Linked DNA regions of Oryctolagus cuniculus. The protein of the gene in region 1 purifies or fractionates together with the protein of each later gene. This does not show direct contact. Links are inferred from orthologs where the notes say so. Each region holds a gene or a part of one and is shown on either strand. Other genes may lie near its edges. The genes, in order: MMP2 and COL5A1.

Region 1 (3,803 bases):
CGGCCTGTGGAGGCTTTGCCATGTGCGACTCCCGACTCACATGGTCCCACTGACTTCTTTGAAAGCCCTGGTACCCAGATGTTTATCCTTGAACGTAATCCTTAACCTCGCACCTGACTGTGCATTGCTTTCTCTTGCACAGGTGAGATCTGGAGCCACGGGAGCTTTGGACTATGTGCGTGCCCTATGGCAGGGCCTCAGAAAACCTTTGTGGCATTGAGCTGACATCTCTTGTAAACAGCTGAACTCGACTCATTTCCAGGGCCCTGGAGAGCTCACAGAGGCCTCCTTGGGAACACGGTTTCCGACTGCCCCTCCCAGCCTTGTTGACACTGGATGCGCTTCGTTCACCAAGGGATCAGGGAGCACCAGTCGGGTGGGGGATTCCTGGCACGTGATCAGGATAGAGTGGCTTGCATAGCACAGTGCATCCTTCTGCTAACGGGTGCCCTCCGGCAAAAAGCAAAGGAGCCAGGATCAGACCCAGCATGGAGTGAGGGCACGGGCCCATGCTCCCCGCCCCCTTGTCAGGGCCCCTCCCCTCCCGGCCCTGGCTCCAGGCCCTGCAGCTGTGAGGGGCCCTGCTGCCCAGGAGCCCGGCAGAGGGAGCAGAGGTCGGGGGTCTGGAATCCTGCCCAGCACTGGCTGAAGGGCTTGGTTTGTTTCCCCGGGCCGCGGCATGGCTGCCCTGCACAATGAGGGCGTGTGTGCTTGCGAGGGGCTGTGGCCAGGCTCGGCGCAGGGGTCCTAGAGAGCAGGGAGGGGCTTGGCTGCTTACCGCTGCCCTGCAGGTCCACCACAGCATCCAGGTGATCGGGGATGGCGTTCCAGGCATCTGCGATGAGCCGAGGGAAGCCGGGGTCCATCTTCTTCTTCACCTCATTGTATCTGTAACAAACCGGACATGCTGAGCCAGCCAGGCCTCTCCGTGGGCCAGGCGGCCCCCACCTCAGTCCTTCAGGGAGGCAGCCAGCGGTCACGGGAGGACAGGGAGTCAGACCTGGATCTGAATCCCAACTCCACTTACTGATGTCATGACTTTGGACGATGCCATAAAAACAATGTTAACACAGCTTTTAACACTGACCACACACTGGCTGGTGTGTCAGTCACTGTCCATACACCTTCTCACTCAATCCTGTCAACAGTCTAATGACAGTTACCACTGTCATCCTCATCTCACAGACCAGAGACTTACAAAGCACTCCCGGCTTCTAAGTGGTAGTCCAAGCCAGACCTGTCTGGCTCCAGGGCTGTAAGTTGCTCTTGAAACCTCAATTGTACCAGCTGTAAAATGGGATTGTATTTAATATAACGCATGTAAAATAGGGTCTAGCCTGTGTGTGGTCTTTAAGAAGCATTTGGGAAATGCTAGTTTCCTTCCCAACTCTGACCCCTGCTGTATTCTGAGGAGCCCTGGATCAGGAGCCCCAAGGCCGGGGACCTGCTCCACGGGTCTTGGACTCCGTCACTTAGATCTCTTAGATCTAATACTGCTCCTTCATCTATCAAGCAGAGCCGACAGTCACGTCCTGGGAGACGACCGCGCTCGCAGAGTGAGGTTACAGTGCGGGAGGTGGCTGTGAGCCCAAAGCCTATGTGTCACAGGGCGTCGCAGCTGCAGCTGTCAGGGTGCACAGCCACTCGGGGCCCCACCTTCAATGCCGGTGAATACCTGGGGCACCCGCTGGCAGCTTCTTCTCCTTGGCCAGCTCTGCCTCTGTCTTTTCGACTTTCTGAAAAACGTTTTTAATGAATGCTGCTGTCATTTTGATTTCTGCACCACTCCACTTAAACTCAATGGACTCACTGTTCTGCAAATACTTAACGAGCGCCCAGTGTGGACCTGCCAAGTTCAAGTTTCCGAGGCGCTGATTTTCTGGACAGATCTGTGTTTGAATTCCATCTTGGTGGCTCCGAGCCTTCCTCGACAGTGCTGCTAGCTGGCTCTCTGCTTCTCTACGGAAGCCTCACTTCTCCACGGAGTCTCACACCAGCCTCCCCTTCCATAGGCTCCTTCCACTGGGGTTCTATGCCTCTGCCCATCACCCCCAAGAACTGCCAGAGAGACCTTCCTGAACGCCGGCTGCATCACAAGACTGTTTCTTGCAAAACCTAACATACTTCCTCGTGACCTGTGTTACCAAAGCCAAGTTCCCCAGCTCAGTGTCCACGCCCCCTCCCCCGACCTCTCGGTCCAGCCCCTACAGTCAGGATGGCTCAGATACAGGCGCCTCACATTGGAACTCATTCCCATGTCTTTCTCATTCTGCTCCCACAAGGTGGAGAGTACAAGAATCAACCCCTCTGGGGCTAGGGTTTGGCACGATGGTTGACATACTGCAGGGGGCACAGGCATCCCACATCACAGCACCAGTTCAAGTCCTGTTTCTGCTTCTGGTTCCAACTTCCTGCTCTTCACACCCTGGGAGGCAGCAAGTGCACTGCCACCCACGTGGGAGAACCCGGATGAAGTGCCAGGCTCCCGGCTTTGGCCTGGCCCACCCCTGGCTGCTGTAGGCATTTTGGGGGAGTGAACCAGTGGATGGAAGATCTGCCTTTGTCTCTCTGCCTTTCAAACAAATAAGTAAAAACGAAAACTAAAGAACCAACCCCACTTTTTGGCTGGAGAAACTGAGGTTCATGAACTGAGGTTCATGAACTAATTTGCTTCCAACATCTTTACGTCCAGGAGGAACTCAGCAGTGCAACATCATAGAGCTGGCTCTGCAGGAGCCACGACCTTCACTCTCCTCCTTCCCCATCATCCCCTGGTCAGAGCCCCACTCGCTGACGCACTGTTTTGAACAGGTTCCCTGTAACGCTTGGGACTTGTCTGCAGCTGCAGGAGACGCAGGGTGGGGCAGGTGTCAGGAACACACACACGTGGGTCCCAGCTTCCGCACAGCCGTATCTCGCTGCCACTCGAGCCTCAACTGCAACACTTGGAAAACGGGGCTAACAACCTGCCACTCTACGTGAGCAATGCAGGGGGCTTGCACAGGCTCAGGCCCACGACTGCCCGCATCAGTTCCCGCCTTCACTGTTTCAGTGTCGTTCCTTCACAGTTCCCCAGCAGCCAGCCAAGCGCCTGGTGGACAGCGCACACAGAAGGCATATTTGTGGGTTGAGTGGAATCTGAGCTCTCCCTGGCACGCTGGCGGTAGCGGCTCACCATCTCTCTCCATACCACGACAGTGTCTCAAGCTCATAAACCCGCTCTCCTTGGGGGAGAGAGTCGTCTGCTGTGGCAGCCCTGCCCAGGGCCCGAGCCAGGCCCCTGCATCGTCCTGCCTCTTCTAAGGGAGTCTCTTGGAGCGTCCTGTGTAGGGGAGGCTGTCCCTCCTGGACCCTGCCTTGAAGACGAGGGTTTCTCGCTAACAAGGACTGAGAAGGACCTAACCGCCCAGAAACCCAGCGAGGCGCCGCCCGAGCTGGTGTGTGCCTGAGTGTGTCCCTGTATGTGTGCTTGTGCTTGTGCGTGTGTGTACTGCACTCACGTCCACACACGGACTCGTCTCTCCTGCACGTCTGCATCTGCAGAGCGCATGGCGAGAGCAGGACTGTGAACGTCTTTCTGACAGCGAGGTTCAAAGACGCCAGGGCTCTCCCAATCCGAGTGCCTGTCGCCAGCCATGTGAGACTGTGAGACTGGGGGGTTCGGGCCTGCCACCCTGAGTTGCCACTCGCAGTCCCCGCCTGTGCTGGGGAGGAGGCAAGCAGAGGGCCCTGTCTGTGGTTTCCTGGCTGACTGTTTGCTTTCTCGAGATAGCAATCAGCTGAGCTAGCCTAGAGCCTTAGCA
Region 2 (3,803 bases), on another chromosome or scaffold:
GGGACCCTGGTGTGCACCGGGCCCTTCCTACCTCTGCACCTGCTGACCCCGTGCATCCTGGTCCCTGGCCTCCAACTCCGGGCCTGCAGACGGCTCAGGCCGGGATGAGGATGTGTGAACCCAGTCCCACCCCAGTGAGGACGGATAGGTCCCATGCCGGGCACAGGCCGGGGGCCAGGCACAGAGGCGCCCTCTCCTGCCTGAGCCCTGCTGAACCCCTGGTCCAGGAGTCCCACCCCTCGTCCTGCCTGCCCTGGCCACAGGCGGCCCACGGTGTCTCTGAGAGCTAAGGACTGGCCAAGCACCATTGGTGGCGCCCAGGAGGTCTTCCCAGGTCTGCCAGAGGCCAGCAGGGCCCCAGGGAGCCCCCCAGGCTGTGTCCCCGGCTCAGCCCCCAGGGAAACAACTCCTGGCAGCAGAAGCAATGGCGTGGCCCGGGGCCTCGTGGCTGCTGTCGCCAGCACCAACACTCAGCCACGTGCCGGGCGAGGGCCTCGGCCGCCGCCCCTCCCTGCCCTGGCGGCCCGGCCTCTTCCTGCCCACACCACAGTGCCCACTGCACGCAGCGGCAGAGACGTGTCCAGCCCGACTGCTGGCGAGCGTCTGGCCCATGGCAGGGGTCAGGCCCTGACCTGGCAGCTCTGAGACCCCCGGGGCAGACACGGGGGTGGGGGGGACGAGGACATCCCAGCCCGGGGCAGGGGGCGGCACCCAGGGTTTGTGCACGCCAGCTGCACACACCAATGTGCCACCACCGCTAGCTCTCGGTCCACTCACCCCGAGCCCACCGCCTGACCGGCCCCAGTGTGGGCCCCGTCCTCAGCCTCACGAGGGCTGCAGAGCGGTGCAGGAGGCCAGGCTGTCCCACTGCGCCCCGCCCCCATCCGGCTCCTCTGACCCGGGGCACGAGGGACGCCGACCCTGCTCCACCAGCACACAGAGCTCTGGCCGATGTGGCTCCCACCGCCCGGGCCGGGGTCTGCAATGTGCCCCACAGGCGGGCCCGTCCGCGGGTGCAGTGGCCCAGCCCACAGAGGCGGTCACGCCCCGCAGAGCCCTGGCCCCCGCGAGCACGCGAGCTTCCTTACTGGTTCGATGATGGCCGGCTCCCCCTTCTGCCCTTTCTCGCCCCGAGGGCCTCCAATCTGCGGTGACGCCGGGCAGGTGCCGAGGACGGAGAGAGAACAGAAAGACAAAGTCACCATGGCCAGGAGACGCGGTGAGGCCAGGGCACCGGCACGGCGTGCGCCTCTGCTCCCACCAGCCCCCTGCAGATCCCGGGTGTGGGACAGCGGAGGCCACGTGGGCTTAGAAAACACAGCACCCGAGACTCCCAGAAGCCAACGCTCCAGACAACCCAGAGAGAAGCGAGCGGCACCCGGGGCTGTGGGTTTGAGAGAACAGCGGGGGTCACACAGGGTGGGGAGGGGCCTGGAGGTGCAGCCACAGTGAGCAGCCAGCCAAGCCCGCCGCAGTGCCAAGAGTGGCGTCTCTTGGGCTACGCCCACCTCAGCCTTCTGCACGAAGATGCAGGCCATGATAGCAACGATAAAGCAAAGCCAGGGACACGCGTGGGGCACTCCACCGAGCTGAGCTCCGGGGAGGGCCGCCGCCCCCGACCCACTCACCCCCTCGTAGATGGTGTCCTGGTTGGCCGGCATGCCGGGCCCGATCTCCGACGGGGACACGGTGGAGTCGGGGTCGTAGTAGGGGTCGTAGTAGCTCTCGTCCAGGTTCCTGATGGTCTCCTCAGTGAACTCCCCGTCCGGGTCATCCCTCCCTTCCCCCCCAGACGGGGCGGGCTGCACAGGGCGGGGAGGGCAGCAGGGTCACCAGGCTGGCACTGTCCCTGTGCTCCGCTCTGCCGGCACCAGGAAACCCGCAGAGAGCGCCCCGGCTAGGACGGCAGTGCTGGGGCCTCCCAGCACCCTGGAGCCTGCAGCCCCCGGGGGCTCCTTGCCCCCCCCCTGCTGTGGGAGACTCAGCCCAGGCAGGCCAAGCGAGGCGGGGCCAGGCCTGGGCACGGCCCACCCACACGTGGCACACCGGCTGGGGCTGTGGTCTCGGGACCAGGGGTCTGCACCCACTGGAGCCCGGGGTCCTCTCTGGGGGCCAGGAACCCGGCACTGCACAATGGCCACTTGCGAGCGCGGGCCCGAGCTGCCATCTTCCCCGACTGGAAACCGACAGCAGGCACTGCCCGTCGTCAGCAGGTACCCGAGCTCCAGGGAGGCCGGCTGGCGTCCCGGGGTCACGCAGAGGCCTTGGGCCGGTCTGCTTCCGCCTGGGGACCCCTGGCCTAAAGGGCAGGGCCGTCCCAGCCCACCTGCGGGTGAACCCCTGACCGCAGGAGCCTCCCCAGGACTCCCATGGTGAGTGACCGAGACAGGAGGCCCCCAGGGGCCTGCCCCCACGCCCGCCCCGCCCCCCCCCCCCCGGCCCCAGGAAGTAAGGATGGAGAAGTACATTGGAGGAGTTGGAGGTGACGGTGGTGCTGGTGGGGACTTCGGCCTCGGCTCCCCGGTCGGGCAGCTGCTCAGGGCTCTCCAGGCCCTCTCCGTAGCCAAGGTCATCGTACGGGGCAGGCGTGTAGTCGTCCTCTATGGGCACGTAGTCGTAGTCCCCGACACCGGGGGCCTCTTCCCTCCCGGCCCCCTCGCTGGCTTCGGGCGCCAAGGGGGCTTCCGTGGTGGGCGGCAGGGTCAGCTCCTGGGGAGAGCGGCGCGGTGAGGGTGTGGGCCGCGGAGGCAGGGGCGCCTCCCACGAATCCGTGGCTGGCGACAGAGTGGCCGCACCCCCATCCCCTCCTCCTCCCGGTGGCCCTGAGTGCCACCCCCGCCCGCCAGGTCCCCGCGGCCAGCCCAAACCTCAGGTATCTCTGTGGTTTCTCTCGCAGCTTCCACGGGCTTCTTGGTGGGGGTGGGGTCCTTGCCGAGGTCATCAGGGTCCTCGTAGTAGGGGTACTCGTAGTAATAGGTCTCACCCTCACCCTCTCCATCCGGGTACTGAGAGCAAATGCAGATCTCGTGAGTGAGGGGAGACACCGAGAGACCCCCCCCCAACCAACCACCACCACCGCAAAGCCACTGACACCCTCCGGGATCACTGCCTGGCCCAGCCCCGGGCATGGAGCTGCCCGGGGCCAGCGTGGGAGCCCTCACCCTCCAGCCCCCGCCCTGGGAACCCGAGTCAGCCCCAGGAGCCCAGGGGGCACAGCAATCAGAGGAAGCTGGACCCGAGTGTGACACGGGCCCCTTCAGAACACAGTGGCCGTGTGGTCAGCCAGGCCGTGGCCCCCGCCTGGCCCCGTGGCCATCGCCAGCCTGCCCTGCCCTTCAGCCCCAAACCCCAAGCCTGGGGGCCTCTGGGAGGGACAGAGCCGTGTCTGCCTCAGGTACAGGGAGCGCCTGGCTGGGGGACTCGGCGGGGAGCTGCCCCCAGCTCTGTCCCCGGAGGCACATGTGGCCTGGGCCACGGGACCAGACAGCTCCAGGAATGGCGCCCCTCCTTCCCCTCTGGGGTGGCCGAGGAGGTGAGAACGGGCTTTGAAACGAGAGTCAAGTTCAATGAGGGGGAGGCGGGGGCAGGGGGCAGGTGCGTGAGGAGGGCCCACGGTGACCAGCACAGGCCATGGGCCACAGGCCACGGGCCACGGTGAGAGGGACAAGGGCATCGGCCGCCACCAGACTCTCTCGGGACGAGGCCAAGGCCACCCCGGCAGCAGCTGCCCGCGCACCCGCCAAGGTCACAGGCAGAGGTCAGGAGGGCACCCCGGTGACGGGGGTGGCCTCGATAAAGTGCGG

Evidence for each region.
Region 2: the proteins of MMP2 (region 1) and COL5A1 purify together in Homo sapiens (co-immunoprecipitation; 3 studies listed by BioGRID and IntAct, counting the BioPlex papers as one, with this or other methods). This does not show direct contact. The link is inferred for Oryctolagus cuniculus from reciprocal best matches to the Homo sapiens genes MMP2 and COL5A1.

Annotation. Positions count from the first base shown.
Region 1 is NC_091449.1:38,836,458-38,840,260, reverse strand, and holds part of MMP2 (72 kDa type IV collagenase precursor), read right to left. Parts: intron 889-3,803; coding exon 779-888; intron 1-778.
Region 2 is NC_091432.1:236,119,479-236,123,281, reverse strand, and holds part of COL5A1 (collagen alpha-1(V) chain), read right to left. Parts: intron 3,006-3,803; coding exon 2,868-3,005; intron 2,710-2,867; coding exon 2,467-2,709; intron 1,803-2,466; coding exon 1,629-1,802; intron 1,146-1,628; coding exon 1,089-1,145; intron 1-1,088. UniProt on the Homo sapiens protein: Type V collagen is a member of group I collagen (fibrillar forming collagen). It is a minor connective tissue component of nearly ubiquitous distribution. Type V collagen binds to DNA, heparan sulfate, thrombospondin, heparin, and insulin.